2 linked regions of the Macaca mulatta genome follow. The protein of the gene in region 1 interacts with the protein of each later gene in a pairwise test. Links are inferred from orthologs where the notes say so. Each region holds a gene or a part of one and is shown in the gene's direction. Other genes may lie near its edges.

Region 1 (12,420 bases):
AGAACTGGCAGAAGGACGCCTATCACAAGCAGATCATGGGTGGCTTCAAGGAGACAAAGGAGGCTGAAGATGGCTTCCGCAAGGCCCAGAAGCCTTGGGCCAAGAAGATGAAAGAGGTGCTCAGTGGGTGCTGCCACGGGTGGGGTGGGGTGGGCCCGTCTGATCAGAGGGTGCTGATCCCAAGGAGGGCATCTATGGATGGGTGGGCTGGGCACTGCCCTCCGGGATTGTGCCCACAGGGGAGCAGCACTGCCTTCCAGGAAGAAATATTCACAGATGGGTGGGCAGTGCCCACTGGGTAAGGAAACCCATGGGCAAGAGGGCACTGTCCCCAGGAAAGATACCAGCAGCGCAGACGGGCACATTGGCCCCTGGCTCCCCAGATGGGGTGGGCACTGCACTGTCTGACAGGAGGGTATCTGCAGGGGAGCAGGCAGTGCTAAGCAGAGACAAAGCCACAAATGGAGGAGTGCTGCTCCTGAACATCTGGAGCCAGGGCTTGCATCCTTTCTGGCTCTTAAGAGTGTGGGCTCGGCCGGGCGCGGTGGCTCAAGCCTGTAATCCCAGCACTTTGGGAGGCCGAGATGGGTGGATCACGAGGTCAGGAGATCGAGACCATCCTGGCTAACACGGTGAAACCCCATCTCTACTAAAAAATACAAAAAACTAGCCGGGCGAGGTGGCAGGCGCCTGTAGTCCCAGCTACTCGGGAGGCTGAGGCAGGAGAATGGCGGGAACCCGGAAGGCGGAGCTGCAGTGAGCTGAGATCCGGCCACTGCACTCCAGCTTGGGCGACAGAGCGAGACTCTGTCTCAAAAAAAAAAAAAAAAAAAGAGTGTGGGCTCACAGCTCCCAGGGAGTGGGCAGGGGAGGAGTTGATGGATGACCATGTTTGCTGCTGGTCACAGATGAAAACCCTACTCCCTATTCCCCCCTCCCACAGCTGGAGGCAGCCAAGAAGGCCTACCATTTGGCTTGCAAAGAGGAGAAGCTGGCCATGACACGGGAGATGAACAGCAAGACAGAGCAATCGGTCACACCTGAGCAACAAAAGAAGCTGCAGGACAAAGTGGACAAGTGCAAGCAGGATGTGCAGAAGGTGCTGGCGGGCGGGGATGGCAGCAGGATGTGCAGAAGGTGCTGGCCGGGCCGGGATGGCAGCAGGGGGTCTGGGGGTCCCCTTGCAAAGGATGGTGGCTGGGAGCTGCAGGCCTGGTTAGGTGTCACCCTCTCTCCATTCTGGTGCCCACAGACACAGGAGAAGTACGAGAAAGTGCTGGAAGACGTGGGCAAGACCACACCCCAGTACATGGAGAACATGGAGCAGGTGTTTGAGCAGTGCCAGCAATTCGAGGAAAAGCGGCTGGTCTTCCTCAAGGAGGTGCTGCTGGATATCAAACGGCACCTCAACCTGGCTGAGAACAGCAGGTACCTGGGCATGGCAAGCACCGAGGGCACAGGCACAGCCAGCAGTTGGTGTGACTGGCATGCAGGGCATCCCAGCCCTACATCATAGTGACGGGAAGGGGAGGCAGAGCTGCAGGGGTCAAGAGGGATGAGGCTTCAAACACAGCGGCTGTTGGGTGCAAGATGACGCACACTGCGTACTCTAGAAATACATGCAGGGTGATGGGTGAATGGCTAAGGTGGGAGGGAGAAGGGAGTTCACTGAGCATGCCCGGAGCTGCTTCTTGCAAAGCCCACATGATTCCTGGCTGGGCAGCATGCCCAGCACCCTGCTTCCCTGAGTGGACTCCGGCCCCTCACCAAGGATGAGAAGGGGCCATGGTGAATCTGTGCCCTCCACCTCCCCCATTTCCCTGAGCACAGCTACATCCATGTGTATCGTGAGCTGGAGCAGGCCATCCGGGGGGCTGACGCCCAGGAAGACCTCAGATGGTTCCGCAGCACCAGTGGCCCCGGCATGCCCATGAACTGGCCCCAGTTTGAGGTGAGGATATGTGGGGATGGGAAGGGGAGCCTGAAGAGGCTGAAAGGTGCCTCAGGGCATAGTCCCCCAGCCTGACTGCTCCACTGGCCCCACCAGGAGTGGAACCCAGACCTCCCTCACACCACCACCAAGAAGGAGAAACAGTCCAAGAAGGCAGAGGGAGTGGCGCTGACCAATGCCACTGGGGCAGTAGAGTCCACATCCCAGGCTGGGGACCGAGGCAGGTGAGTGCCTCCTGTGGAGCTTCCTGGGGCCAAGAGGGACCCACACTCTGGGGCAGCTGAGTTGTGCTTCAGAAGACAAGAAATGATCTAGATCATAGCAACTATGTCTCCTCTCTAAAGGAGAGTGGTAGTTCATCACTCTAAAGCAGCGGTCCCCAATCTTTTTGGGACCAGGGACCAGTTTTGTGGAAGACAATTTTTCCACCGATGGGAGCGGGGTGGTTTTGGGATGAAACTGTTCCACCTCAGATCATCAGGCATTAGATTATCATAAGGAACGTGCAACCTGGATCCCTCGAATGTGCAGTTCACGATAGGGGTTTGCGCTCTTACGAGAATCTAACGGCGCGGCTGATCTAACAGGAGGTGGAACTCGGGCGATAATGCTCCCTTGCCTGTCACTCACCTCCTGCTGCGCTGCCTGGTTCCTAACAGGCCACGGACTGTCTGCAGCCCCAGGATTAGGGATCCCTGGTCTAGATAATAGGAACCAAGCCTCCTCTCTAAAAGATAGTGGTAGCGGATCCTTCTAGAGCACCTGCTGTGTGTGGCGCGGTTCAAGTGCGTAAATATTCCCGTTTTACAGATGGAGAAACTGAAACCCAGAGAGGTTAAGTGACTTGCCCAAGGTCACATTGCTAGTTAATAAACCTCAGAGCCAGATATGATGCCCAGGAGGTCTGACTCCAGGATCCTTGCTCTTAATCATTAGGTGGTACTCCTCCTCCCGGATGAAGACTCAGACTTGCCCTGGGGTCCCCTTAAATGCCCTCTCCCTCTTGGGCTGAATAATAATGCAAATGGCCCTGCATTTAAACATCTGTTTAAAGAGCTCATGAGGGTCACCCCTCCTATGTGGCTAATCCTTGCTCTAGACTTGGTAGAATTCAGGGTCAGAGCTCTGATTAGGAGTGGTTAGCCCTCGGGGTGTGGTGCGGGGAGACATTGAAGCTGGGTCCTCCCTCCGCGTCTCAGTGTTAGCAGCTACGACAGAGGCCAACCCTACGCCACCGAGTGGTCAGACGACGAGAGTGGAAACCCCTTTGGGGGCAGTGAGGCCAACGGGGGTGCCAACCCCTTTGAGGACGACTCCAAGGGAGTGCGCGTGCGGGCACTCTACGACTATGACGGCCAGGAGCAGGATGAGCTCAGCTTTAAGGCCGGTAGGGCGGCTGGGCGGGACAGTGCCTGAGCGAGGCTTGGGCCTGGATTGGGTGTGTGGTGGGGCAGGGGCGGTGCCTGAAAGAGAGGCTTGGGCCTGGACTGGGTATGCGGTGGGGCAGAGACAGGATTTGAAGACGGGTTACGAGGATTTGCAGGGAACTAAATGGGGCGTGGCCTGGGTTGTGGGCGTGACCTGGGCCCAGGATGGGAGTGGGAGCAAGATTTAGATTGGTTGGTGCCAGGGGCGGAGTCAGAACCTGAGAATAGGGTGGATGCGAGGTCTGATTTTGGGGGCGGACCCGACACCCAGATTAGGTGAGTGGCTGAAGTAGGCCAGGACCCCTATGCCAAGGGTGGCATGTGAATGTTGGCATGGAACTGGGGCTGGTCTCCAGGGGCAGGGCCTAAGAATCTAAGACCCAGTGCAGTAACCGGGAGGGGGTATTGGAGGGCTCCCTTTGCAACTGGTGTGTTGAGGGAGGGGCAGCCTTCTCTCTGAGCCCTCCCCCCCGCCCCGCCCCGTGTTCTTTTCCCTAGGAGACGAACTCACGAAGCTGGGCGAGGAGGATGAACAGGGCTGGTGCCGTGGGCGGCTGGACAGCGGGCAGCTGGGCCTCTACCCTGCCAACTACGTGGAGGCTATCTAGAGGCCCTCCCTCCATACTCCCCTCACTCCTCCCCACTGCCTCCCCTCCCCTCCCACTCTCGTCTCCTTCCCCTCGCCATAGAGTTCCAGACATATTTTCCGATCAAGCTTTTATTTTTTTAAAAGTCAAAACAGAACAAAACAAAGTATACAGAGACAGAGCATTTGCAGGGCCACCTGGAGGCTGCGGTGCTGGGGCTTGGGATGATGGTCCCAGGGTAGGTAACAGGCTTAGGACTTAGCCCAACATCACAACATCTGCTCTTTAGGTTCCACCAAAGAGACTCCTGAGCCCTGAGAGATGTCTCCTGACCCTTCCACCCTGCCTCACTCCTTCTGTCCCACTCCACTCCAGGCTGCCGGCACCTGCCCCATTCCCTGGCCTGGTTTCCTAACCTTTTCTTCCTCCCCTGCCCTGCTTCCCTTCCTCCACCACCCTGCCCTCAAAGGCCTCCTCTCCAGACCCCAGGGAGGGAGGCTTCCCCATCTTTAGTCTTCCACTCTACCCTGGGGAGCATCCTCTACTCCTAGCTGCGTCCCTTGGGCCCAGTGGGACTGGAGGAGGAACAGTCACCCTCCTCCCCGCTGGAGGTTCCCAGGGGTCCCCCAGACATGAAAGAGGGGTGAGCTGGAGGAAGTCATGGTGTCACTGGGGTACAGGAGGGTGAATGAAGGGCATGCAGGCTCTCAGCCCGGGTTGTGCCAGCCCTCCCAGCCCCAGGCCCATCTGAGGGACCAAGACCCTGTTACCCAGGCCCTTCTTTCCAGCCATCAGCACTTTGAGCATCGGCTCTTCAGCAGATCCAAACCCCCTCAGCAACTTGCAGAGGACCTGTCCCTTCTCATAAGTCCCCTGGCCTAGGGTGGGGACCCCCAAACTGATGGCAAAGCCAGCAACAGTAGCAGCCTCCTCCTATTTGCTGGGGAGGAGGTCATCTTGTCCCCCTGGCCCCCCACGCTCCCCCCATGTCCATCCAAAAACCATAAAATCACTGGGTTCCACATCAGCCTCCATGAGGCCAAGCCTTGTACCTGCAAAGCTCTTGGCCTAACCATCTCTCCTCTTCTCTGACCTGCCTGGGGAGCCTGCAAGGGCCCCTTGGGTGCCTCCAGCCTGAGACATCAGGGGAGAACCTGCAGCTGAGTTTGGCAGAAAGGAGGAACCCTGGCCCTCAAGAGGAAGATAGTCACATCATGTATTTCTTCCTTGTCCCCACAGTCCCCGGAACAACATTCCCCCTGCTGGCAGCCCTTCCATCTCTCCAAGCCTGGGTCAGAGTGAAAGGACCTTCGGGGGTGGGTGGAAGCAAAGGGCCCAGCTGCTGGTTGGTGAGCAGTAGTGCCGGAGTGCTAGGTACCAGCCTCTCCCGCACGAGAGGGTACGGGGGCTTGGGAAGCAGACCAGGGTTGGACAAAACCCCATGAGGGAGGGGAGCTGGAAGAAAAGTCTCTTGGGGACCTCTGGAGCAAGGAGCTGAGAAGTCCTGCAGCACCAGGTGAGACTTGCTTACGGTGGATGCCACTTCTAGGCCTCTGGACCGCAGATGCCCTCCTTCCTCCTGCACACCTGGCCTCCTGGGCCTCCAGGTAAAGAGAGAGAGCCAGCCCAGCCCTGTTCCCCCTCAGTCCTCCTTTGCTCTTGCTGCTTCTCCCAACAGCCCACTGTTAGGAGGTAGTAGAGCCCAGCCTCAAGGTTCTGACCTTCTCCGTGTGGGCACGGAGGGTCCTGACACTCTGGCAGGGGCCTGAGCTGGGGCAGGCCTCCCTCAGGGCCAGGGGCAATGGCATCCCAGGGACAGGCAGACCTCCTTCCTGCTGCCAGCACCCCCTTCCTTATCACTGTCTGGTCTCTGGGCCTTGGCTGCAGCCTGAGATGAGCCTGAAGCCAAGATGAGCCTCCTCAGCACCTGAAGCAAACTTTTGGAAGCCTGAGATGTGTCCTGGGCTCCTCAGCGCCTGAAGCAAGCTTTTGGAAGCCTGAGATGTGTCCTGGGCTCCTCAGCGCCTGAAGCAAGCTTTTGGAAGCCTGAGATGTGTCCTGGGCTCCTCAGAGCCTGAAGCAAGCTTTTGGAAGCCTGAGATGTGTCCTGGGCTCCTCAGAGCCTGAAGCAAGCTTTTGGAAGCCTGAGATGTGTCCTGGGCTCCTCAGAGCCTGAAGCAAGCTTTTGGAAGCCTGAGATGTGTCCTGGGCTCCTCAGAGCCTGAAGCAAGCTTTTGGAAGCCTGAGATGTGTCCTGGGCTCCTCAGCGCCTGAAGCAAGCTTTTGGAAGCCTGAGATGTGTCCTGGGCTCCTCAGCGCCTGAAGCAAGCTTTTGGAAGCCTGAGATGTGTCCTGGGCTCCTCAGCGCCTGAAGCAAGCTTTTGGAAGCCTGAGATGTGTCCTGGGCTCCTCAGCGCCTGAAGCAAGCTTTTGGAAGCCTGAGATGTGTCCTGGGCTCCTCAGCGCCTGAAGCAAGCTTTTGGAAGCCTGCAGTCCTCCCAGCTCCAGCGCAGAAGTCCAGCCTTTCCCCAGGCAGGAGCTGGGGTAGGGGCGTCTGTCCCTCATCACTTACCTTGGAAAGGTGGGAAGCTGGCGATCTGCATCTTGGGGCCTGGGCTCCCCCTCTCTGTGCCAGCAGCTTCCCAGCACCTGCGGAGGGGCTGCAGCCCCAGCTGGACTCCACCCTGTCCCTCTTAGCACTCCAGCTGCCCACTCCAGGACAGGGACTCGAAACCCCCTCCATCCTGAGCAGCCACCTCCAGGGCCCTGTTTGGGACCACTCTCTCAGTCCCCAGGCTCCTCAGGGCTCCAGAGCAGGAGGGTCTCCTACCTGGAAGTCCCCTTGAGCTCCAGGGCCCAACCCTACCTGCCAGTGCTGGTGTCAGGGCACTCAACACCCAGGGTGGGTGCCGCGCCCCTTGCCATGCCCACGGCCTCCTCCTGTAGCCCCTGCCCGCATCCTCGATGCTGCACGGGCCCGCCCTGGCGGGGCTTGGCGAGTAATGTGTTTTGTCCCGAGTTAACCACCATTCTGCGGCCTGGTTCTGTAAGGAACCGGGGCTGCCCCACCACCCGCCGTCTGCCGCCCTAGGCTTCCTGACCCCATTAGTTCCGACACTTGTGAAACTCCGAGAAGTGCTGTGGTCTCAGCAATGCACCTGTTTTGTACATGATTGTGTAATTTAAAGGTATATAAATACAAATATATATATATATCAGTTGTGATTGTATGACTGTGGATAAAATCCAGAACTGTGTCAACCTGGCTGCGCATTGTCATGTTGAGTCTTGTGCGCCTTCTTCAGTCCTGGGGGTTTCTGAGCCCTCTGAGAGCTGTTTGTGGTTGGGATGCAGGAGGGCAGGGGTGGTGCCTGAGCAGGGCTGGGTGCTGTCCTGGCCGACCATCCATAGACTGGGCCACTGAGGCCTGGTCCCTTCATCCTGCAGGGGCCTGGGTCTTGTCTGGACTGGGGAGGGTGATACTGGAGGCTCCTGGAGCTCTGGCCCATTCAGGTTCCGGGTGCCTGGTGACAGGCCCTGACCAGGAGAGCTGGGGCGTTCAGGTTTCCACACTCATGGATTAAGAGTGAATGAAGCTCTCAAATAGGTTTTGCTTTTTAAAGCAGAATTCTAAAAGTGACCGCTGAGGCCCATGGTTCCTGGTTGTCCACAACTTCAGTGCCAAGCTCCCTGTGTGGTGACATTGGGCCGTGCCACACCTTCCTGCACCCAACCTGGCTCTGAAGGCATTTCTGTGTGGGACCCGTGGGAGGGCTCCTTGGGGAGAATTTCTCAGGGGCATAGGCAGGACCAGAGCTCTGGGTTCTCGGCTGTTCTTCCAGCCCCAGGCCCAGCTCTTGCTCCGGCTCCCTGACTCCCCCTGCACCCCAGCCTCTGGGGATCTCTTCTGGGGCAGCGCAGGAGTCCAAGGGCCAGTCCCAGTTCTGCCATCAGCTCACTGTGTTCCCACCCTCACCCGGGTCTCAGCTTCCCCAGTCGGGTGAGATGTCTCTCTCAGGGTCCTCTGGCCCTGGCAGCCTGGCAGGGCCATCACACAAGCCCATTACTCAGGGCAAATATACCCCAGCCCCTCCCTGACACCCCGTGCCCCAGCCTCAGGGTGTGCCAGGCAGGGAAAAAGGTTGAGATGGAGATTGAATCTATCAGCCACCCCATCTTCCTTACTCCTCCAAACCTACCTCCATGTGAAGCCCGGTTTTAGCCAAACAGAGAAATCTTCAAATAAAGACAAAAGGTTGTTGTATTGTCTTACCTGCACAGGCTGTTCCATTTAGTGATGAGGGGCCCTGAGGGTGGGGCCCCCATGGAGAAGGGTCAGAGAATCCCCAGCCAGGTGGGGTTCTGCTGGGGAGGTGTTTGGAGGAGGGAGAGGAATCTGCAGATCGCTGCCGGCTCACAAGGTGTCACTGGATGGGCATGTGCCTGCCAAGGTTCATGGGCAGGGAGCTGCCTCACCCGGGCCCCCACATCTACCCTTTCCAGAGCTGCTCCACCTTTGTACTCCTAGCATCCACTGCCCATACCTATCCTCTTGTCCAAACCCTGACTGAGATCTGAGGCCTTTCCAGGCCCAGGCCCAGCTGGGGACATACAAGCAAGTGGCTCCAGGGACTCAGTCAGGAGCAGGCCAGGCTGGCTGGAGACAAAACCAGTTCAGCAGAGCCTGGTTCTGGCCAGGGTCCCAGGCTCCCCCTGGCACTCCTCCCTCCAAGGGAGTGAGAGACAGCAGGGGCCCAGCGAGGCACAGGCCTGGGGCAGGGCCCCCTCCTCCCTGCAGTGCAAGCCCAGCTGACAGATGCCAAGGTGCTATTTGCTCACTGCTAGGAGCAAACTTTCTTCTGGACAACAAAATTGCTGAGGGCGGAAGGCAGCAGTACAGGGTAGCAATTAACCCTTGGTGGTCTGGGTGGTGCTGGCTCCCCTGCTGTTTCCTGGAAGCCAGGCCTCAGAGGATAAGGGTGAAAGAGGACCAAGGGTGCTAACCAGTCAGGAAGCCGGAGGGCTGGAGGGGCAGAGAGAGCCCTGTTCTTGTGGAAAGACAGGTATGAGTTACTCTGTCAATCAGCTGTGTGACCATCAGCAAGTCACTGCAGCACTCTGAGCCTCGGTTTCATCATCTGCAAAATGGGGGAGTAGCCCCTACTTCATAGTTTTGTTGGGAAGATAAATGACAAAGCACCTGGCACACAGTAGACCATAAGGACACTGAGCCGGGTGATAAATGTGAGGGAAGTGGGAGGAAGCTGGATGAGTTGCTTTGCCCGGGAGAGTGGGTGGCGGGTCCTGGTCACCCCCAGCATGCCCACAGACATCAATGCACACCCTCTTCCATCACGCACGGGGGTCTCACACCCACTCACAGGAGCTCACATCTTCACAGACGGTACTGCTGAGGCCTTCAGGAAACAGAAACGGGAGCCAACCAACCTCTCTTCCACCCTGTTAGCTGCAAAGCCCTGCTCTGCAACAGAGCAAAAGGATGCGAAAGATACCTTCCCCATTCGGGTCCTGCATGAAGAACCTCTTTAACACCAGCCTTACCACCCGCCTCTCAGCCCGAACAGGGATAGGGAAGATAAGGTGGCTGTTCTAGCCCCTCCTTGACTTTGAAGCCTCACTATCTCTCTCCCAGAAGCATCTACCAGTCAATTATCCCTTTCCCTTTAGGCTCAGCCCAAAGCCGCCTCCTCCAGAAAGCCTCCCTTGACTACTCCAGGCCCTGTGACCACAACCACACTTGACCATTGATGACCTCGGGGCTGTGCCATTCACTGCGCAGACACTGGGGACATGTCAGTTCTCTAGTATCTTTATTATCCATTCCCGGGGGCACTCCTGGCTCCCTAACTCAGGGGTGCAGACGTCTCCCTGCACCATGCCAGGCGTGGTGCGGATTGGGAGGCAGGGGGATGGAGCAGAGAGAGCCCTGGGCTGCCTGTGGCCTTCGCTGAGTCACTGCCCTTCTGTAGGCTCTGCTCTGGAAATGCTGGGGTCAGAGGCAGGTAGAGGGGTCCTTTGTTGGGGAGCAGTCCTGGCTCCCTCTGTCCTCCAGGGGAGCAGCTGGGCCTGAGGAGGAAGCACCCCTGCCCTGGGGTCCCGAAGGCCCCAGAAGGCCCATCTCCCCCTGAGAGCAGCGGGCCGCCTCTCCCTGACCTTGGGCTCTGGAAGGTCAGAGCAGCAGAGCAGACTGCCCATTTTCCCCCAGCTCAGGGCCTGGCTGAGGCAGGACAGGCAGGAGGGAGGCCCCGGAGGGCGGGTTTTAGGCCCTGGGCCGGGCACTCAGATGGGGTGCACGAACTGGTAGACGAGGCGCTGGGAGATGTCTGGCTTCCGGATGATGCCCTTCTTGTAATACTGGCGGATGGAGCGGCTTAGCTTGTCATAGTTCATGGCGGGACGATTCTTGCGGATGCCCCACAGCCGGGCCACCTGGGCTGAGTCCTCAATTTTGAAGATGCCTGGAAGAGTAGGAGGGCCCCGAGAGAGCCAGCGGTATGAGTGAGTCGGCAGGAAGGAGAAAGACGCAGACCACCAGGTCAGCCTCGGGGCGAACCAAGAGACCCTGTGCAGAGGCCTCCTTCTGCTCGGGTGGGGCGGGGTGACCAGGGACCCGAATGCTTACTCCCAAGGTGCAGTAGTGGTGAGGGTTAAAGAGATGTGTGCAAAGCAGGTGCCACAGGCCCCAGTGAATGGCAGAGAATACTCTGGAGTCACAAACCTCCCGGCACAGTTGAGTCTGTGTACCTTAGTGGGTTCTCTGGGGCCCTGCGGGCCTGGCCCTTGCCAGCCCCTGCTCCTGTGTGGGGTTTGCGTGCCCTAATCCAAAGTCCTGTGTGGCTCCCAGCAGTGCCCACAGCTCACTTGGCAAGAGCACTCCTCCCCCATTACAGGTGTCCCTGTAGTTCCCAAGCCTGAAACAACATCTTTGCTATTCCCAGGCAGTTTTGGCCTGCGCAGCCCTTTCTGGCGGGATTAATTAATACGAGACGGTGGAGGGAGAGTCGATTTGGAGCTCGTTCCAGGAGCTGTGCTGTACTAAGCTCCTAAGTGAGACAGAGTCTAGCAGGAGACAGATATGGACACAAATTGCACACAGACCCCCCAGGGCCATCTCATGAAAGCTGTGTATTTGGCATCCAGGACAAAGGTGGAGATCAGCTTCCCCCCTCTGCCCGCCCCTGCCCCCATGCACAGTGCCTGGCAGAAGCCCCCACAACCTCCATGCTCACTGGCCCTGCAGTGCCCCTTGGGCACCCTGCTCACCCTTCTCCTTGTTGAGCCACCTAATGAAGCGGCCATAGCTGTGGGGCTTGAGTAGCAGCTCCTTGAGGAACTGCCACAGGTGGATGGGCTGCCCGGAGCATGACGAGTCCACCTCGCTGTCGGTCCAGCTCTCCTCACTGGTCGAGGCTGGGTGGCCAGGGAGGGGGGCAGTGAGTGGGAAGGGGAGGCCAGTCCCTGCTTCAGTGGCAGCCACCCCTCCACCCTACCCGAGCCCCCGCCCCCGCCCTGCCCCTGCCTGGCTCACCGCAGTAGTGAATCGCCCCAGGTGAAGTCCGCTCTTTCATCCAGGCCGCTGCAGGGCAAGGAGAGGGGGTTGGGGACCCAGGAGAGGTGGAGGAGGGGAGGCGTTTGGGTGGGACTGTGGGGCCACAGGAGCCCCTTTGTGGCTGGGGGTTGCCCCTGAGGCTCCCTGCCACAGTCCCTGCCTCCTGCCAACCTGGGGAGGCAAGCTGGTTACAAGAAGCTGCTTCCTGGACGAAAATTCAGGATTTCAGCGCTGGGAGGGGCCATAGAGGGCTTGCACGCATCCGCTTGTTCAGATGAGGACATCTGACATGGGGGCTTGCCGGGGCTGGGGCAGGGCACTGGTCTCTGACAGGGTCATATGAGTGGGCCCTACTTCTTACTCCTTGACTCATCGAGCAGGCACCATCTCCTCCAAAGCACCCGGCCCTGTGCAGGCAGCAGTGGGTGCCCAATGAGATTGAGACAATTTAGACACTCAGGGGCTGACACGCAGCCATTAGAAACTTAGGGCAGGCCGGGCCCGGAGGCTCACGCCTGTAGTCCCAGCACTTCAGGAGGCCGAGGTGGGTGGACTGCTCGAGCCCAGGAGTTTGAGACCAGCCTGGCCAACATGGTGAAAACCCGTCTCTACCAAAAAATACAAAAGTGAGCAGTGTGGTGGTGCACCTGTAGACTCAGCTACTCAGGAGATTGGGGTGGGAGGATCCAGTGAAACCGGGAAGTCGAGGCTACAGTGAGCTGTGACTGTGCCACTGTACTCCAGCCTGGGCAACAGAGTAAGACCCTGTCTCAAAAAACAAAAACTAAAATTAAAGCAGGGCCACTTTAATTTTAGCAGAGTATAAAATTAAAGACATACTGTGTTTTTAATACCAAGACATACTGTGGTATGCAGAGCAGTGTA
Region 2 (11,706 bases), on another chromosome or scaffold:
GGAGCCCAGGAGCCCAAGACTGCAGTGAGCTAGGATCACGCCACTGCTCTCCAGCCTGGTTGACAGAGCAAGACCCTGTGTCCAAAAACAAACAAACAATCAAAAATGCTTGTTTTTTTGCAAATGCATAATGCTGGCCATAGAGCAATAAAAACCTGGCAGTTTCTATTGAAATATGCCACCAAAAAAAGATAATCTTTAAAAATCAGTATAGTTTTCTTGTAGAAATCACCCTTCAGATGGGCATGTTACAAAGTAAATTGTTCTCATGAATTATTTCTTGTATAATTTTGGAGAGCCTGTGTCTATTAAAGTGAAGTGCTTCTTTTTCATTAATTGCAATTAAATTATATCTTTGGGTATGGCAGTACTTTACCTCCATTTTCTTACATTTGAACAAAATGCTAAGCCAATTTAAATACAGACATGAGCATTATAAAATAAACCATTTTTTAAAGTGGATGTTTCACCTTACTGTTCAAAATTTTGAAAAGAAAATGTTGTTGATTCTACCTCGTTATAAATGTGTGAAGAATATGGGGAATCTCATTAAGGCTTAAGTCACACTTCTTTACATTAGCTTTTCATTAACTTAGTAATGGTAAGCATACTTTGGATTTACATATTACTCCATACGGAAGACCATCCCATTAAAAATTTTTTTCAGTTAGATCTTCCAGTACAGACAATCATGGCTTTTGAAAGGCTTTATCTTTGATGATTCTATTCATTGTATTATTCAATAAATAATTGTTTTTACATCGTCTTTCCTTTCATCATTTGCTGCTTCTTACCTGATAGCTACATTGAGTTGCTACCTGCAAATTACTTCTAGCTTCACACAGTTCTTCCCAATAACCCCATGTGCCCCTGAATGAACTTAAAGCACCATAGGAAAACAATGCCTGTGTCTTAAATTTCATACAGATGCATAACATAACTGGCAGTAACTCCTCCTTACCAATTTAATAACATGTAGGAACGAATAAGATAATTTTCTTAGAAAGACCTCTTTTTTCACCCCACACAAACAGGTAAAAAACAGTAGGTAGTTGACCAGGGCAGAAGAGATTAAGCTTTGGGAAAAGTCCTTTATAAAGCGTAAACCTTGCTTACAAGAAACCTAGTTTGTTTTTAATTTTTTTTTTTAGTGTAATTAGTGTATATAAAATGAATTGCTACCTGAAGCAAAACACCAGCAGGAGTTTCCCCACAAGGAAGCTAATCATTTCCCCGGGTCTGTAAAAAGTGCTGAATAAAAAAAGGCATTTTCCTGTGACATCTGATCTTAACCAATATGTCAGTGTTTTTAGATAATTTGGGAATGTTTAGAATACTGCCTGTGGTGCTTTCCCTGATGGCCTGCTATTGATGCCTGTCAGTCAAGTTGTCAAGACACATGAAAAGGAAAATGACTTCAATTTTCCTAAAACTTGTAAAATAACAAACAAGCCTATACATGCACACCAACTGAGTCATTCTCTCTAGTAAATATTTTGAGGTACCTATATTGTGAAGCCTAGTGCTGTGAAAATTGAAGAGGTTTTAATATCACAATTTATTTTTCATTTTCTTTCTTACTTGTTCCTTAATGTTTGTTAAACTACAAGAATATGAGACAAAGATTAAATTCAAACGTAGAAATTAAAGATTAACAAGTAAGTGCAGAAGACTGATTCCTTCTGAATTGTTACATAGTTTCCTAACATGTCTTTTAAGAAAAAATTTGAATTATGATCCTAGGTTCCTAAAAAGAGTAAACATTTTACGTCTCAGAGCAAGAATATATCTAGAGGGTTCTTTCTTTCTCTGAGAGTATATCTAAACCTTTAGCCATACTTTTAATGCTTCCTAGCAACACAATGCTGTTTTCAAGGGTTAGTTCAGGATAGTAATAATTAATTGTAAATTGAGAAACAGCTTTGATTATTCAAAACTAGAAAAACCTGATGTGCCATAGTCATTTAAAGGCTAACAAAAATAATACAATGCAGCCTTACATTCTCAACTAGGTTGTAGTACTCAGAACATTTCATTCTTTCCAAAACGAATGAATTAAAATGAAGTCACTCTTTTCATTATGAAAATCAGTCTTAATTGAGCATTTAAAAAATGTTTCTGTTTCTACACTTAAATTGCATTTATTTGTATTTTATATCAGGTAATCTAGTAGTTAGTTCTTTTGACTTATCTAGCTGTGCTTTTCTTCACAAATCACTGCAATTACATGACCGTGGAAAAGAGAGGTTGATAGAAATGATAAAGCTCAATATGGATTAGTCTAATGTTTCTTTATACTTTCATTCCTTATCTTAAAAGTCCATTCTCAGAGTTTTAAAAAATTTAACTCTCATTTTTGCTTATTTCCTTTATTGGAAAAAATATTTTAATTCTTATTTATTACACTTTTTTCTCTTGCCTCTCCCCCCACTTTTACACATGTCTGACTTTTGGAAATTTGTTATTTTCATGTGACATAATGTCGATAACATGTACCCTCCAATAACAACAACAACAACAATTAAAAATGTGCTCTTTTTAAAATGTATGAATTATGTGAACTGTTCAACATATCTTTTGTTTTTCCTTCCTTTGAAGGCATACGATGGATTTGCCAGCATAGGAATTTCCCGATTATTGGAACCTTCTGATATGGTATTATTAGCAATTCCTGATAAACTGACTGTTATGACTTATCTCTATCAAATAAGGGCACATTTCAGTGGCCAAGAGCTAAATGTTGTTCAGATAGAGGAAAACAGCAGTAAAAGCACATATAAAGTTGGAAACTACGAAACAGATACAAACAGTTCTGTTGATCAAGAAAAATTCTATGCAGAGCTTAGTGATCTGAAGCGGGAGCCTGAACTACAACAGCCCATCAGCGGAGCAGTAGACTTCTTATCACAGGATGACTCTGTATTCGTTAATGATAGTGGGGTTGGAGAGTCAGAAAGTGAGCGTCAAACTCCTGATGATCACCTTAGTCCAAGCACAGCCTCCCCTTACTGTCGCAGGACTAAAAGTGACACAGAACCCCAGAAGTCTCAGCAGAGCTCTGGAAGGACTTCAGGATCTGATGACCCTGGAATATGTTCCAATACAGATTCAACCCAAGCACAGGTTTTGTTAGGCAAAAAGAGACTATTGAAAGCTGAGACTTTAGAATTGAGTGACTTATATGTTAGTGATAAGAAGAAGGATATGTCTCCACCCTTTATTTGTGAGGAGACAGATGAACAAAAGCTTCAAACTCTAGACATCAGTAGTAACTTGGAGAAAGAAAAATTAGAGAATTCCAGATCCTTAGAATGCAGATCAGATCCAGAATCGCCTATCAAAAAAACGAGTTTATCTCCTACTTCTAAACTTGGATACTCATATAGTAGAGATCTAGACCTTGCAAAGAAAAAACATGCTTCCCTGAGGCAGACGGAGTCTGATCCAGATGCTGATAGAACCACTTTAAATCATGCAGATCATTCATCAAAAATAGTCCAGGTAAGTGAATTAGAATGCTGAATACTATATTTAGTAATTATTCTCTGTTTTTGTTTCTTTTTGCATTCATAGATGTTGCAAATGATTAAAGGTGAAGTGTAATGTCTATTGTAAAAATTCCTGAGGCATCCAGTAGTGTGCGCCAAAGTCCCCACTATTTGGGAGGCTGAGGAAAGAGGATTGCTTTGGCCTAGGAATTTGAAACCAGCCTGGGTAACATAGCAAGTCCCTGTCTCAAGAAAAGAAAAACCTGAAATATACCTGCTTTATATTTAAGATTTATGATATAATATTTTAAGCCTACAAATCCCAATTTCAACATTGAAGGATATTGTGTAATAAGACTATGAAAAAAAAGTTGAAGGATAAAGAATGTCAACTTTTCAAATAAAAATATTACTTATAAAAACGATATTCTACTATAAAATAAGTCAAAGTTGTTTCAATATTCCATTTAATAAGAACATCATTATAAAAATGTATAATGCCAAAGTAAATATTTCGCATTTTAAGCATTTTCCTTAGATATTTTAATTGGTTTATTTAGTCCCATCATTATTTGTGGTTAAATATCCCAGCAGCATCCAAATTTCTCCTCATGAAGGGAATATTGTACAGTTTTAACCTTTCTCTTACTGATGATATTAATAATTTACTGTTTTTACTTGTATCTCTGGTACAGTCAGTTATAAGATATACTATTATTTTATGTACTACAACAAAAAAGAACAACATTGTCAATAAAATTATGATACGTGGTTTTCCTATCACTCAGAATTTTTATATCTATTGAAAGAGCTCTTTTAGACTTATTTAGGCATAATTTGATCATATTAACACTCTTACATATACCTAAGGAGGAAATTTTAGGCAAAATAAATTGATTAAGGTATTCCTAAAAGTTTTTCACATTTAGAATCCAACTCTTCTGAATCACTTTTTGATTTAGAGTTGTTGGTATTCCTTTTTTTTTTTTTTTTTTTTCTGCACAGTTATCGTCTGTGCTATCAAAAGCATTGTTACAGTACATGGTTCTCAAAGCCAGATTTGGGGGCCTCTGAAGTTCTCCGAGTCCCTCTCAGAGAACACCCGAAGTTAAAGCTATTTTCATAATAATACTAGGGCATCGTTTGCCTTCATGACACTCATTCTCTCACAAGAGTATAATGGCATTTTCTGAAAGTTACATGATTTGTGATATCTCAACAGATCGAATATAAAAGTAGATATAGGAATTCAGCTGCTTTTATATTGAGATTTATAAAATATGTAAAATAATGCCATCCTTCTCAATTTTTGTTTTTTAAGTAATTATTTTCTATTAAAATGTGTTAACATCTAATGAGTTAATTGTGGCTACTTCTAAATGAAAAAAGTAAGTATTTTAAAATTGTATCAGTTTTAATATCAAAAATGACAAATGTCAATAGATATAATCTATATAAGCAAGAGTTTTTTGGGATCCTCAGTAATTTTTAAGAATATATGGGGATTTTGAGACCAAAAAATTGGAGAACCTCTGATTTTTTTTTTTTTTTGAAACAGAGTTTTGCTCTTGTTGCCCAAGCTGGAGTGCAATGGCACCATCTTGGCTCACTGCAACCTCTGCCTCCCAGGTTCAAGCAATTCTCCTGCCTCAGCCTCCCGAGAAGCTGGGATTACAGGCATGCGCCACCACACCCGGCTACTTTCGTATTTTTAGTAGAGACGGGGTTTCTCCATGTTGGTCAGGCTGGTCTCAAACTCCTGACCTCAAGTGATCCACCCACCTCGGCCTCCCAAAGTGCTGAGATTACAGGTGTGAGCCACCATGTCCGGCCTGAACCTCTGAATTCATAGCATTTCTCCACAACTGTCTCTGGGATTTTCTTCCAGGTCAGTATACTCATTGATAACAGCACTGTCTTGGCTTTACCAGAAGGTCTCAACAGAAGATTTTTAGACAGTAATCTGGAGTTATGTTTCTTTCTCACATAGTCCTCAAGTGGTGTTGACTGAAACATCAAGGAATTGTCATCATGCCAACAGAAATATCAAACAATATATATATAGATAGACAACCATGTCTTGACTGCCACCTGAATGACAGAGAGTGTAAGATTCTGCCATTTATAAGGTTTCAGAGGTGTCAAGAAAGAATTTACATATTAGAATTAAAGAAGTATAGTAGCTGTCAAAGCAAGCCCCTGTTCTCCTAATCATAAACCTCAAATCAAAAGTCCTAAGTAGCTAAATCTCTCTGAAAGCTTTCAGGACAGCATAATGTCCACGCAGAGTAGATAATCAATAAACATCTAGTGAATGACAATTACAAGAACTTGATGACCCTAACTTGTAATATTCAATACAGATTTTTATTTTGTTTTTTTGCGGGGCGATGGAGTCTTGCCCTGTCACCCAGGCTAGAGTGCAGTGGTGTGATCTTACCTCACTACAACCTTCGCCTCCTGGGTTCAAGTGATTCTCCTGCCTCAACCTCCCGAGTAGCTGAGACTACAGGTGTGTACCACCATGCCCAGTTAATTTTTGTATTTTTAGTAGAGATGGGATTTCACCACGTTGGCTAGGCTGGTCTCGAACTCCTGACCTCAGGTAATCCTGCTTCACTCTCCCAAAGTGCTGGGATTACAGACGTGAGCCACCGCACCTGGCCAAATTTTTCTTAAAAACCAGATTTTTAAGGCAAATATGTTTAGTTAAAACTAGAAATTGATTGATATTTAAAATGTTAAAATACCCTGGACTGGGAATCAGTAAGCCTGGATTCTTGTTTTGGCTCTCCCAATAAATTAGTAATGACATGTTAACTAGCTATTTAGCCTCTCTCAATCTTATTTTCCATGTATGTTAAATGAAGTAATCTTTAAGAACCCCTTTAGCTGTGAAACTATCATTCTGTGATTCTATTCAGATGATTAAAGTGTACTGGATGATAGAAGCAACGTCTATTCATAGCTCCATATATGTTTTCTCTTTGGCCATTGACTTACTCAGAATTTTGCTTAGGGTAAGTTTAAAGATTTTTATTGACACTGTATTGGCAAAAGTAATGTCTAACAATAAACACTGTAATATAGGTGCTGACATTTGGTAGGCTTTTAAAATTGTATATAGCAACTGAATTTTGGACAATTAAAAATCTGTTTCTCTTTTGTACACAGTATTTCAATTCTCAGATACACATCTTCTTACATTTTAACTTCTCAATCAATGTTATTTATAATAGATAGTATATTAGAGTTTAATTGACAACGTTTGTTCTTAGTAGTTCATAAAATAATAGTAATTCTTACAATTAAAACCATTGGATTAGAGGAAATTTAGTAACTTTAATATGACTTTGTATACTTAACAAAGTCATAATGTTGTCCATTTGGGTGCCTAATACATGTGATGACAGTTATCTATCTTACACATATCTCTTAAACTTTACAACCCATAAGGTAAGTAGTCAAATTCTATATTATATGTGGGAAATCTGGGGTTTGCAGAGTTACTTAAGGTTATATGATAAATGTTAAAGTTTGAATTAAAAAGCAACCTTGTCTTCAAAGTCTGTGCTTCTCCACTTGATGCATATAACATCTTATCGTAATAGCATTAAAAAATAATTTTAGCCCAAATATAATGTGGTCAACATTACTGAAGGGCAATTTAACAATGTGCATCAAATTCCTTAAAAATCTTTATCTCATTAGATCCTACTTTCAGGAATTTTTCCTAAGGAAATAATTAGAATTGTATAATATAGCTGGGCGCTGTGGCACATGCCTGTAATCCCAGCACTTTGGGAGGCCAAGGCAGGCGGATCACCTGAGGTCAGTTCGAGACCAGCCTGACTAACATGGAGAAACCCCGTCTCTACTAAAAATACAAAAGTAGCTGGGGTGGTGGCACATGCCTGTAATCCTAGCTACTTGGGAGGCTGAGGCAGGAGAATTGCTTGAACCCGGGAGGCGGAGGTTGTGGTGAGCCGAGCTGGCGCCGTTGTACTCCGGCCTGGGCAACAAGAGCAAAACTCCATCTCAGAAAAAAAAAAAAAAAAAAAGAGAGAATTGTATAATAAAAATGTACCTCTAAAGATATTCATAAAAGCATTATTTATGATAGTAAAAAATTGTGTGCAACCTAAATGTTCAGCAAAATAAGACAAATTAACTAACGTATGATGTGTCTATACAATGTAATGTTAGGTAGCCAATTAAAAATCATGTTTTAGGCTGGGCATGGTGGCTTACCTGTAATCCCAGTACTTTGGGAGGTTGAAGTGAGAGGATTGCTTGAGCCTGAGAGGTCAAGGCTGCAGTAAGCCGTGATTGTGCCATTGGACTCCAGCCTGGGTGACAGAGCGAGGCCCTGTCTCAAAAAAGTAAAATAATAAAATAATTTTAAAATTATGTTTAAAAAAATATTTAAGACCATAAGAAAATGCTCAAAATACAATAAGTGAAGGGGGAAAAAAAAAAAAAGCATGATTCTACAGTTATTATCTCTGGGTACCAGGACTACTACTAATTTTTATTTATCGTCTTTTTAACTTGTATTTATTTTCTGAAATCTCTGTAGTGAATTGCATTTCTAGCCAGGAAAATTTTTTTTAAAATTGTGTTTATGTGCTCTTAAACACAATTAGTGATTTTATAGTCTTCTGGTGATTTGATTTTGTTCTTAAGACCAAAACATTTTTTCACTGTCTTTGTAGCTGGTTGGAATCACCAAAAGACTATAAAATCACAGAATTCGGAGCTAGTGGAATCTTAAAGATGATCCCTCATTTCAAAGATTAAGAAATCGAGGGATTAAAACAAATACTTAACGTTTATTCAGTGTTTGTCATGCGCCAGTGCTCAGTACATTATGCTATTATTTAATCTTTGCCCTGTCCTTCTGAGAGTTGGTCTATTTCTATCCTTATTTTATAAATGAGGAAACTGAGGCTTAGATAAATTAACGTGCCCATAATTAAGTGGTGGAACTGATATTTGAACCCAGGTCTATCTGACTCCACATCATGTAATGGAATGCAGTACGTTTTTAACTGACCTGCTCAATGTTACATTGCTTATTATTAGTGGAAGAGGGATTAACAGCCTGATGTCTTGACTGAAAATTCAGTGTTCATTTAATTAATTTTGTCTGTTTTTGAGACACTGTTGATATTGTAACTAAATTCTATTGTGTCCTATTCAACATGAACTTAGACTTATCATTATCACTTATACATTTTATTTGTATCTATTAAGAATTTTTGTTTAATCCTCTTAAAAATCTTGGGTGATGAAAATGTCCTGGAATTAGGTAGTGGTGATAGTTCATAACCTTATGAAATACTAAAAAGCACTGAATTGTACATTTTAAGAAAAATCTTTTCTTCTTTAAGATTATAGAAAAAAAGCTTTAAAAATAGTTACAGTAAAATATAAAGACCACAAAGAAACCCAAAATGCTGAACTAATCTTTAAAAAGATGGTTTCACATAATATGAAATAAAGTAATAGCTATACTTATTTTATTTTCCTTGACAATGATACTTATGATTGAACCAAAACTATGCAATGAGAGGGAAGTAAAAGAAATTAAGTGTCAGATAATAGTAATAGACATCTAAAGCCAGAAGTTGGTTACTTAGTAGAAAAAAAAGGAATTTGGACTATAAGGAGTATGAATATTTGTGCTTTTGGTTAATGTATTTAAGAACTGATCTCTGTTGATGGATGATATCTGTTGTTCTCCAAAATTATATTGTAAAATTACAGATTAATCCAGGAGAATACTTTTTCAGTTATAATATTTTCAGCTGTTTTGTTATAAGGATAGTGAGCAATGGAGAAGACTAGTTTTACTTTTTTTTAATGAAATATAATAACTTTGAATTTTCTCTAAACATTCTTAAGAATTTAAAGGATTATTGCCACAGATATTTAATATTTATCAATGTTCAAATTTGAGAGACATGTTGTTACCAATTCTTTAAGACTGAAAATAAAACTCTGAACTTTAAAAAATGTCTTTGTCAGATTATACTGTGTTTATGAGCAAATAGAATATATAGAATATATATTAGCCTTATACCTAACGAGAATATGTTCTAATAAAATTATAATTAAATTTAATCCAGTTTTAGACAGTAAAGATGTATTTCCCTCATATCAAGATTTATATATTCATTCCATGGTTTCTAGTCAACATTAACATTCTCTATAGGTAATCTCATGAAGCTACAATCTTATTCATAATCTCTATTATTTCAGCAGATTGTCTAACCTTTCATTAGTTTACAAATGTAGATTACCAGTTCTTTTTTTGGCTTCTAATTCTGTATCTTTGCTTTTAAGCATCGAATGTTATCTAGACAAGAAGAACTTAAGGAAAGAGCAAGAGTTCTGCTTGAGCAAGCAAGAAGAGATGCAGCCCTAAAGGCGGGGAATAAGCACAGTACCAACGCAGCCACCCCATTCTGCAACAGGCAGCTAAGTGATGTGAGGAGCATTGGTTTAAAAAGACCATAAGTTGTTCATTGTAATCATGGGGAGGAGGGAAGTAATTTGCTTGTATTTTTGCTATGTTATTTTTCTACAGACTGTACATTGTAAATACTTAGTGCGCTTACTGAACTGATAAAGATAAATTCATACTTGTAGGACCATTTGATCATTATTCCTACAAAGCAGTGTTAGTGATGAGGAAAAGTAAGATCTGGGAATATAATTTCCACATATACATGAATAATCTGTTTTTTGTTTTTATAAACAAAAAACAGTTTTATAACTGTAGTTGTACTCTAAGATTGTATTTTGTCAATGGAGGTTAATTTTATTGGAAATGTTAGAATATAATAATGATGTCTATTATTACTGAATACCTACTAAGTATTTCAGGAGCAATAATTTTTATTTTACTTAGCACCATGGAGACTGAGGCCAATAGGCAAGGTAACTTGTACAAAGTCACAGAATCAGTAAACGGTGAATCCAGGATTTGAACCTGAGCCTTATTAGATTCCAAAGTCAGGCCACTTTCCTATCATATACTGCCATCTTTTTATTAAACCACATTTTTGTACATATTTTTGTGTAGTGCTTCACAGATAATAATGAACGTATAATAATAGAAGCCCTTAAAATTTAGGAGGACACAAACATCTTCATGAATCAGAAAACTGACAGTCTCACCATAGCACCATCATGTGTTAGTAGTTGTTTTTCCCAGAAAGGGCAGCTCTGTGCCATATAGCTAGGTAGCTACATGCCAGGTTGGTCACCTTGTTGCATTTGTTTCACGTTTACCCAAAGAAGTACCCTATTGCTTATGAGACTGTGCTTTGAACAGTCCCAAGATATTTTCCCACACTTCCTCTTTCAAGTTATCTATTGTTGCATTAAAAACCACTGCAGGGCTAGGCACGGTGACTCACGCCCATACCCAACACTTTGAGAGGCTGAGGTGGGAGGATCACTTGAGTCCAGGAGTTTGAGACCAGCCTAGGCAATAGTGACACCCCATCTCTACTTACAGAAACACACACACACACACACACACACACACACACACACACACAGAGACACACACTGCAAAACTTACTGGCAAAAAACAACCATCTGATTAGGTTAATAGATTCTGTGAGTTAAGAATTCAGATAGGACACAGAGGTAGTGGCTTGTTTATGTTCCATGACGTCTGGGGCTGGCTTTCAGCTAATAAGACCTCTGCCAGACTGTCAGTTGGAACACCTACATGTGGCCTCTCCATATGGTCTCTTTACTTCTCTAGTGTGGGCTTTCTCATAGCATGGTGGCTGACTTCCAAGAACAAGTGTCCCAGTGGAATAAGCCATAAATATGTGGCATTCTTATGATCTAGCTTTTCTTTATAACAAAATCACTCTAAGTTTATTGTAAGAAAGGAAAATTAGTGGGAAATTTCAGTTATGAACATAGATGTAAAAATCCTATAGAAAATATTAACAAATTCAACCCAGAAGTGTTTTAAAAAGTTAACATACCATGGTCAATTTGGATTTATTCTAGGAATGCAAGATTGTTTAATTTTTCAAAACTCAAGCAATGTAATTGACAACATTAACAGAATAAAGAAAAATCAAGCAGATATAGAAAAAGGTTGGAAAAATACCAACATCCATTCATGATCCATAGAGAGAGAAGAACCACATTTCTTAGCCTCAAGGGATAGAAAGGAACTTTATTA

Evidence for each region.
Region 2: the proteins of PACSIN1 (region 1) and EHBP1 interact in a two-hybrid assay, tested with the Homo sapiens proteins (2 studies listed by BioGRID and IntAct). The link is inferred for Macaca mulatta from reciprocal best matches to the Homo sapiens genes PACSIN1 and EHBP1.

The regions. Positions count from the first base shown.
Region 1 is NC_133409.1:147,738,197-147,750,616, reverse strand, and holds the end of PACSIN1 (protein kinase C and casein kinase substrate in neurons protein 1), read left to right. Parts: coding exon 1-116; intron 117-943; coding exon 944-1,099; intron 1,100-1,252; coding exon 1,253-1,428; intron 1,429-1,830; coding exon 1,831-1,951; intron 1,952-2,047; coding exon 2,048-2,175; intron 2,176-3,150; coding exon 3,151-3,338; intron 3,339-3,876; coding exon 3,877-3,986; 3' UTR 3,987-7,226; downstream 7,227-12,420. Other genes in the region: SPDEF (SAM pointed domain-containing Ets transcription factor), read right to left, coding at 10,266-10,444, 11,250-11,396, 11,515-11,562. UniProt on the Homo sapiens protein: Plays a role in the reorganization of the microtubule cytoskeleton via its interaction with MAPT; this decreases microtubule stability and inhibits MAPT-induced microtubule polymerization.
Region 2 is NC_133418.1:61,807,497-61,819,202, reverse strand, and holds part of EHBP1 (EH domain-binding protein 1), read left to right. Parts: intron 1-2,598; coding exon 2,599-3,501; intron 3,502-9,836; coding exon 9,837-9,980; intron 9,981-11,706. UniProt on the Homo sapiens protein: May play a role in actin reorganization. Links clathrin-mediated endocytosis to the actin cytoskeleton. May act as Rab effector protein and play a role in vesicle trafficking.